2 linked regions of the Macaca fascicularis genome follow. The main gene of each other region encodes a partner of the protein of the gene in region 2 in a complex. Links are inferred from orthologs where the notes say so. Each region holds a gene or a part of one and is shown on either strand. Other genes may lie near its edges.

The links.
Region 1: TAF4 (region 2) and transcription initiation factor TFIID subunit 13 share a complex: the UniProt entries of both Homo sapiens proteins name them as parts of the TFIID basal transcription factor complex. The link is inferred for Macaca fascicularis from reciprocal best matches to the Homo sapiens genes TAF4 and TAF13.

Annotation. Positions count from the first base shown.
Region 1 is NC_088375.1:125,372,314-125,376,587, reverse strand, and holds the start of transcription initiation factor TFIID subunit 13, read right to left. Parts: upstream 2,810-4,274; 5' UTR 2,748-2,809; coding exon 2,721-2,747; exon of another isoform or gene 2,547-2,720; coding exon of another isoform or gene 2,546-2,546; intron 1,959-2,545; exon of another isoform or gene 1,861-1,958; coding exon 1,782-1,860; intron 1-1,781. UniProt on the Homo sapiens protein: The TFIID basal transcription factor complex plays a major role in the initiation of RNA polymerase II (Pol II)-dependent transcription.
Region 2 is NC_088384.1:118,057,104-118,060,614, forward strand, and holds part of TAF4 (transcription initiation factor TFIID subunit 4), read right to left. Parts: intron 3,158-3,511; coding exon 3,035-3,157; intron 1,614-3,034; coding exon 1,524-1,613; intron 744-1,523; coding exon 495-743; intron 1-494. UniProt on the Homo sapiens protein: The TFIID basal transcription factor complex plays a major role in the initiation of RNA polymerase II (Pol II)-dependent transcription.

The DNA.
Region 1 (4,274 bases), on a different chromosome or scaffold from region 2:
GGCTGGATGTGGTGGCTCATGCCTGTAACCCCAGCAGTTTGGGAGGCTGAGGCAGGAGGATCACTTGAGGGTAGGAGTTTGAGACCAGCCTGGCCAACATGGTGTAACTAGTCTCTACTGAAAATACAAAAATTAGCTGGGTATGGCTGGTCATGGTGGCTCAGGCCTGTAATCCCAGCACTTTGGGAGGCCGAGTTAGGCAGATCATCTGGGTCATGAGTTTGAGACCACCCTGGCTGACATGGGGAAACCCGTTTCTACTAAAAATACAAAAAATTAGCTGGGGCTGGTGGCGAGACAGGGTCTCACTCTTCTATCACTGGGGCTAGAGTACAGTGGCATGATCACAGCTCACTGCAACCTTGAACTCCTGGGCACAAGTGATCCTCCCACCTCAGCCTCCTGAATAGCTGGGGCTATAGGTACACGCCACCATGCCCAGTTAATTGCAAAAAAAAAAAAAAGATATACTGACCCTGTAGTTTCAAGGGCATTTGGGAACTGCTCACATATAACCCCGCCTAAATAAACCATATTCATAAATCTGTGTTGCCTCATCTCTCAATACTTAGATATAACTTTACATAAAGGACCCAGGACTGGAGATGGAGAGCACATTCTCATGCTGTGTTCCAGGGCTTGGCCTGTACCATCAGTAGTAGCAGCAGCTCTCCCTTCCTCTTGTTGCCAAAAAGGGTCAAAAGCATCTACTGAGGGGGTAGGATGCAGAATCAATACATTATAATCTCCATGTCATTATTTATTTTGCTTATTTATTTATTTATTTTGGACACAGGGTCTGGTTCCGTCACCAAGGCTGGAGTGCAGTGGCGCAATCTGGGTTTACTGCAACCTCCACCTCCTGGGCCCAAGCCATCCTCTCACCTCAGCCTCCAGAGTAGCTGGAACTACAGGGGCGTGCCACCATGCCCTACTAATTTTTGTATTTTTTGTAGAGAGAGGGTTTCACTATGTCGCCCAGACTGGTCTTGACCTCCTGGGCTCAAGCGATCTGCTTGCCTTGACCTCCCAAAGTGCTGGGATTACAGACGTGAGCCACTGCATCTAGCCTCCATGTCACTCTAATGTCTTACACTATTCACCACCTTCTTCTTTTTTTTTGAGACAGAGTCTTGCTGTGTTACCCAGGCTGGAGTGCAGTGGCATAATCTTGGCTCACTGCAACTTCTCCCTCCTGAGTTCAAGCGAGCACGTCTGGCTAATTTTTGTATTTTTAGTAGAGATGGGGTTTCATCACATTGGCCAGGCTGGTCTCAAACTCCTGACCTCCAGTGATCCACCTGCCTCAGCCTCCCAAAGTGCTCGGATTACAGGCGTGAGCCACTACACCCAGCTGTTCACCACCTTCTTACTTTGTTCATAGCCTTAGTCCAAAGCCCAAGCCCCAACTCACTTGCTACTCTCCCTCAACACCTGGTGCAGGATCCATTAGTATCTGTGGCTTACAGTCAAAGAAGCCTCTCTTTCTACTGCTGCAAAGGCAAGAGGAAAACTAATGGAGGTATGTTCTTCTGCCCTAAATTAAAACACGAACTACATTTGCTCACCTAAAAAGCAATTTATACACAGACACACATACACACACATATAACTGGGGTTAGGATTGGTACTATCTGATTCAAAAGCTAAACAGAATTTGATAGGCTAGTCTGAGAATATTGTCACTACAGGGAAACATTCAAAGCAATAAATGTACTTGGAAAGGATATGTCCAAAAGTTTTCATCATCTATAACAAAATCATTGTCAAATACTACTTACATTCTTTAGAAAAAAGCCTCTTTCTTTTACCCTGTCCACCTTCTGCACCTCCTCCAATTTCTTCATTTTCTTCCTCAAACTAGAAAACGTATATATAGAAATGTCAAATAATTGCCTTGCATTTGATATTTTAATAATAACAATGTTTTTTCCTTTTCAACAGATAGGCCAGAAAGCCTAAAGGAAGCAGAAAAAAAAAAAAAAAAAAAAAAAAAAAACACAAAACCTTAGCACGTAAGCAGCCTAGGTATCGAGTCCAATTTCCAACTCATCCAAAAATGGCTTCTACAATGTTCCTAACAAATAATCCTACTGCTTCTACGTGTAAGAGTTACAATGACCATAGGTTTTATTTTTAAACAACTAAGGTGGCCTATTGCTACTGTTAAACAGTTGATACTGAATCAAAGTCTACCTTTGTAGACTTTCAATTAAGCAAAACTAATATTTACTAAGCATTTGCATATACGGTGCTAAAAACGTTCCTTAAGTAAGCCCGTAACCCTATTTTGTAACAAGAAAACTGATTGTCAAAGTTAAATAACTTGCTTAGAGAGAATGGAGATTTTGAAATCCAGGCTGTCTGACTTTCAATGCATTCTTTTCCCATTACTTCACAGTAAGTACAGTTTTGTTAACAATTGAACTGTTGGTTCATAGTGAGCGCTAATAGATGTTAGTTTTGACGTCTGATGATTCTGTAAGTGTTTCAGTGTCTGGCAAATAAAGATCAAAATCAAGGGGAAAGGGGTCACAAAACCTACTCTTTCTTCATGTCCTTCCCCACTTTCTAAAATGATCAATCCTTAGGGAGTGAAGTCCCCGAATTCTGTCGGCTGAATTGACTAAGGCAAGCAGATCCGATCCTGAACTCTGCCTCCGCTACTGAGCCCGAAGGAGTGAAGAAAAGAGAGGTTCTGGACACAGACGGTCACTCACGGTGGGGTCTTCTTCCTCATCTGCCATCCCACTAGCCCGCCAACCCACAGCGCCCCGCCGGCTGGTTCTCAGCGGGTTACGCTACTTCCGTCGCCTCACTTCCGGTGACGGGCGGGGCTGGAGCTGGGCCTAGCTGACTGAGGCCTGCGGAAGGACGGTGGTGCTTTCCGGCCTAGCGGCGGAAATGCGACAGTCTTTAGCGGAGGAGGCCGGAGCTCCTCCCTGTAACACTGAAGGAATTGAAAACTAACAAAGAAAAGGAAATCACGGGCTCCGTGGGATGTATCTCGTTGTCACCCTAAATTTGCTACTGCGCATTGAATCACGCCTTCCTGTTTGGGGACTGCGAAGCTATGGATCGTAGGAGGGCTAGCCAGCGGTCCTTTATCTGACATAAATGCTTTTAAATCATTTTAAAGAGTTGTGGTTCCACTGTTTCTAAGCACTATGTTAATTACTGGGGATACTGTGCTTCACCACAAATTTCCAAGAGATGGTGTCCCAAAACTAAGCATTTAAAATTTTGTGAAGGTTTGTTTTTGTGTGTGTGTGTTTTTTTTTTTTTTTTTTTTTTTTGAGACCAAGTCTCACTCTGTCGCCCAGGCTGGAGTGTGCGGTGGCGAAATCCCGGCCCACTGCAACGTCCGCCTATCGGGTTCAAGCGATTCTTCTGCCTCAGCCTCCCGAGTAGCTGGGATTACAGGCGTGCACCACCATGCCCGGCCTCATTTTTGGTTTTTTTTTTTTTTTTTTGAGACGCAGCCTCACTGTCCCCCAGGCTGGAGTGAAGTGGCACAATCCGGGTTCACTGCAGCTTAGACCTGCTGGGCTCAAGCCATCCTCCCACCTCAGCCTCCAAGTAGCTGGGATTACAGGCACACACCACCTATGCTCGGCTAATTTTTGTATTTTTAGTAGATATGGGGTTTCGCCACATCACCCAGGCTGGTCTGGAACTCTTGATCTCAAGCGATCTGCCCCCCTCGGCCTCCCAAAGTGCTGGGATTACAAGTGTGAGCCACCGTGTCCATTGGGGAAGGCTTTTGGTCGGAACAATGGTTGGGAAAACCACAGGCATTGGAAGGCCAGAGCTAGGGATATAAAATATGTGTCCTACAGTGTAACAGATGATGCTACATAAAGAAAATCCCGCAATACACACGATTTCTGAATGTCCTGCTGAACATTCGGTGAGTGAAAAGTAGTTATGTGAGGCTTGAACCTATCTTTGTTAATAAACACAAAGCGGCTGGGCGCGGTGGCTCAAGCCTGTAATCCCAGCACTTTGGGAGGCCGAGACGGGTGGATCACGAGGTCAGGAGATCGAGACCATCCTGGATAACACGGTGAAACCCCGTCTCTACTAAGAAATACAAAAAACTAGCCGGGCGAGGTGGCGGGCGCCTGTAGTCCCAGCTACTCGGGAGGCTGAGGCAGGAGAATGGCGTGAACCCGGGAGGCGGAGCTTGCAGTGAGCTGAGATCCGGCCACTGCACTCCAGACTGGGCTACAGAGCGAGACTCCGTCTCAAAAAAAAAAAAAAAAAAAAAAAAA
Region 2 (3,511 bases):
CAAGAAAGCCAGATCCACATTGCACATACGTGAACCGCTACGAGCAGCCGCAGCTTTGCCTCCCGGGACCCACCTAAATCCACCCTGCGCTGTGAGCTGCTACCGTCTCCAGTCTCCTGCCCACCTGTCCCACGCGGGTGCCCGTGTCTTACGCTTGGACCGCTGCTCCTAACCCAAGAGAACATCTATCTACAAGATCCTCTAAAAACACACTGCATTCGTTTACACCAGTAACATCCCTAGACAAGACAAGGCGGGGATGTGCCAGTGGTTCAAAGCCAATTCAACTATTTCATTTTACTGAGACAAAACACAAAATCCCAGGGCCTCAACCCTGATTTCTATTTTAACTAAGGTAATGCCTAAGCTTCCTCTAGCAGGAGCCTTCCTGCATGCTTGGAAAAGGTTTCTGAACCATGGCCAATTTATCTAAGAAGCTGGAGGGAGCAGAGGCACGGTGGGCTGTGTGGACCAGTAAGGTGCCCCTTCCATACCAGCGGTGTGGGTTGCCCCTGCTTGCCGACGCCGACCTGTGTGGGCTGCGTGAGGCTGAGCACAGGGGGCTGGAGGGCACTGGTCACGGTGGCCGCCGTCTTCCCGGCCGTGCGCTGGACTGAGCTACTCAGCACCACAGCCGTGAGCGCAGTGGTGGCCTGCGAGGCGGGCGGTGGCGGCTGCTGCTGGCTCTGCTGGATGAAGGCCGCGGAGTCGGGAGTCAGCTGTCTCAAGGCGGGTAAGCTCCTCTGGGTGGAAAGACAGACACGAGGGGTCAGGGGGTTGCTCATGCGTCAGTTTTCCTTGCTTAAAAATTCAGAAATATCAACTTTTACAGAAAATTTTTGAGTTAAGACGGATGTTGGCCCTCACAGCAGCACGTCTGGATGTCAGGGGCCAGGACCCCATCCCGCCCTCCCACTAGGCGGGATTATTCCTGATAGCAAATGTCCAAAATGTGTTTAAGAAAACAAACAAAAAGAGCCATATTTTTAAAATAGTTTTTAAAATATGTTAACATCACGGGAAGAGAAGATTCTGAATGTTCCCAACACATGGAAATAAGTATTCAAAGGGATAGACCCCACATACCCTGATTCTATGAATGTAACAAAACATTACATGCACCTCATAAATATGTACAAATATATGTATTAAATTTTAAAATGTGCTCATACCAATGATTATCCAACAGACAGCCTGACACTGTTAACACCCTTGGTCCTATCCAGTTTTGCAAACACCACCCCAATTCCCTGTTCCCCTCGGTTTCAGGAAGCGCGCGCCCTTCTCACCGCCTTGCGCACAACAGAACCACAACGCCACAGTGTCAGGGGAGCTCCTGCTTTACAGAAAACACCCAACATTCTGTCCCCAGGCACTGAGTCCCCGGCCCCACCCCCGCAGGGAGCACAGGCGCTGTGCACCCTCCGTGCCTGGAGCATCCTCACCCCTGTGCACTTGGAGCATCTGCGCCCCACCCCTCCCTGGCCCTGCTGCTCGTCAAGCACCCGGGCCTTCGAAATTACCTTCAGGAAAGGCACAAGGTAAGGTTGAGGTGAAGAATTAAGTTCTCGGTATAACCTGCTTGTGAAATCTTCTGCTTCGATTTTTCCATCCTTAAAAATAAAATCCATGTTGAAATTCTGGTGAATGAGATTCCACACACACTTCTGAATCCCGCATCACTCTGGTCTTGTATTTTACGGCTGATTCCGCCCCGAGTTTCACTGGACAGAGGAGATGGGAAAGTCTGCGTGCTACACCTTCCACAGATACACGTGTGACAGGCGCTCACCCTGGACACCGCAGTGCAGCCAGCTGCGGACCACGTCTCCTCCTGGGAGGGTCACCTGTCTACTTCTCGTCTTTTTCTAAGCCTCTTACTCAATGCCAGTCTTTACTCAGTGTTTACCAGGCACCTATTCGGTGTCAGGCATTTTGCTAGGAGGCAGATCAGCCTAAAAGTAACTCCATTATCAAAGCCAGCCCTGCAAGCACAGTGCTACAGGAGGTCACAGCGTGCCAGGGGCCACACAGACAGGATCCAGACAGTCAGGGCATCAGCACCTTCAGGAGCAGACAACAGCTGTGCTCACCCCTGCAAGCAGTCACGGTGCCCAGAGTCCAGTCAGATAAAAGGGAGCCCAGAGCAAGAGGGCCAGATCCTGTTTCAGAAACAGAGGCCAGCGTGGCATAAAGGTCGGGAAGACAGGCGACAAGGGTGGGAAGGCGGTGCCTGGACTGAACCCTGAGAGACTCAGGAAGACATGGTCAGGCGGGCAAGGAGAAGGCACGGAAAGACTGGCCACTCCAGATCCCCAGGCCATCCCACTGAGGCCAGCATACCCCTGAGCCATGAGACAGCCATGGGGAGAGCCAAGGTGGAGAGCCAAGAGTTCGGCCATGAGTAGAGATGTAGAGCTTGGGACTGTGGGTTAAGGAGAGGGGAGGCCGCCAGGAATCCTCCCACGTTCTGGCCAGGAGACAGAGTGCTGTTCACTGCGACAGAGGTTTCGGAAGGGGTGGGGGCAGGGGTGGGGGGACGGCTCTGCCACTGGAGCACGAATGTGCCTCAGCTGGTCTGCTCCACGGGGAGGGGGCTTCTGCTGGCTCAGGGTGCAGAATGCCTGTTCCAGCAGGGACTGCGGACACCTGGGAATTTTACAAGAGGTCACACAGGAGTGGGGAGAGGACCAGAAGGGAGCTGCCAGGGACCCTGGCCAGAGTGCAGCATGGTGGGGGCAGCCAGAGGAGAAGAGAGCCACAGACAAGGGACACAGGCACCAGAAAATGGCAAAGCCCAGGAGACCACCAGGCACCAGCCCCAGAACACCCAGCCCCAGGAAGGAGTCTCCTCAGCTAGGCCACACACACCTCTGACAGGTGTGCACCCCCCCCTCTGCCTGCAGCCTTCCAGAGGAGCTCTCCCTTTGCTGGCACAGGCCTCCCAGGCACAAGTCACAGCAGCAATAGGTGTCTCTCCTATGCAACAGGCCTTAGGGAAAAGGGAATGAAATGTCAAGTCAAGGTTTCTCACCAGTAAATTCTGCACGAGCTCTTTCACATTAGCTGCTGTCTCTGTAGACTGCTTGCCAGATGAAGCCAGTTTTATTAACGTAGATAGGAAATTTTTACATTTCTTCACGTTTTCCATAGTTTCCTGGATTAAAGTAAAAAGACATAAGTGAAAAATCTTAAAAGGCAGATTTTTGTCACAGCCTTTGGTTAATAAAATATGCGTATGTATAAGAGATACATATATTTCTCCTCTAAACTTCAAGAAAACGCACCACCTCTTGGCCTGTGGATGGGAGTGGAACCCCGGGCCATGCTCTGAGGGGCGGCCCAGCCACATCAGTCACATGGCCACCGAAGTCAGCATCTCCCACAGTCCCGCAAGGCCACGTCTAGGAATGTAGCTATGCAAATAATGAAAAAAGTGAAAAGAGACTCTGCGAAGACGCCTGCTGCAATGTCGCTGACCATAAGGACAACCTATGCCAATCCAAATGGA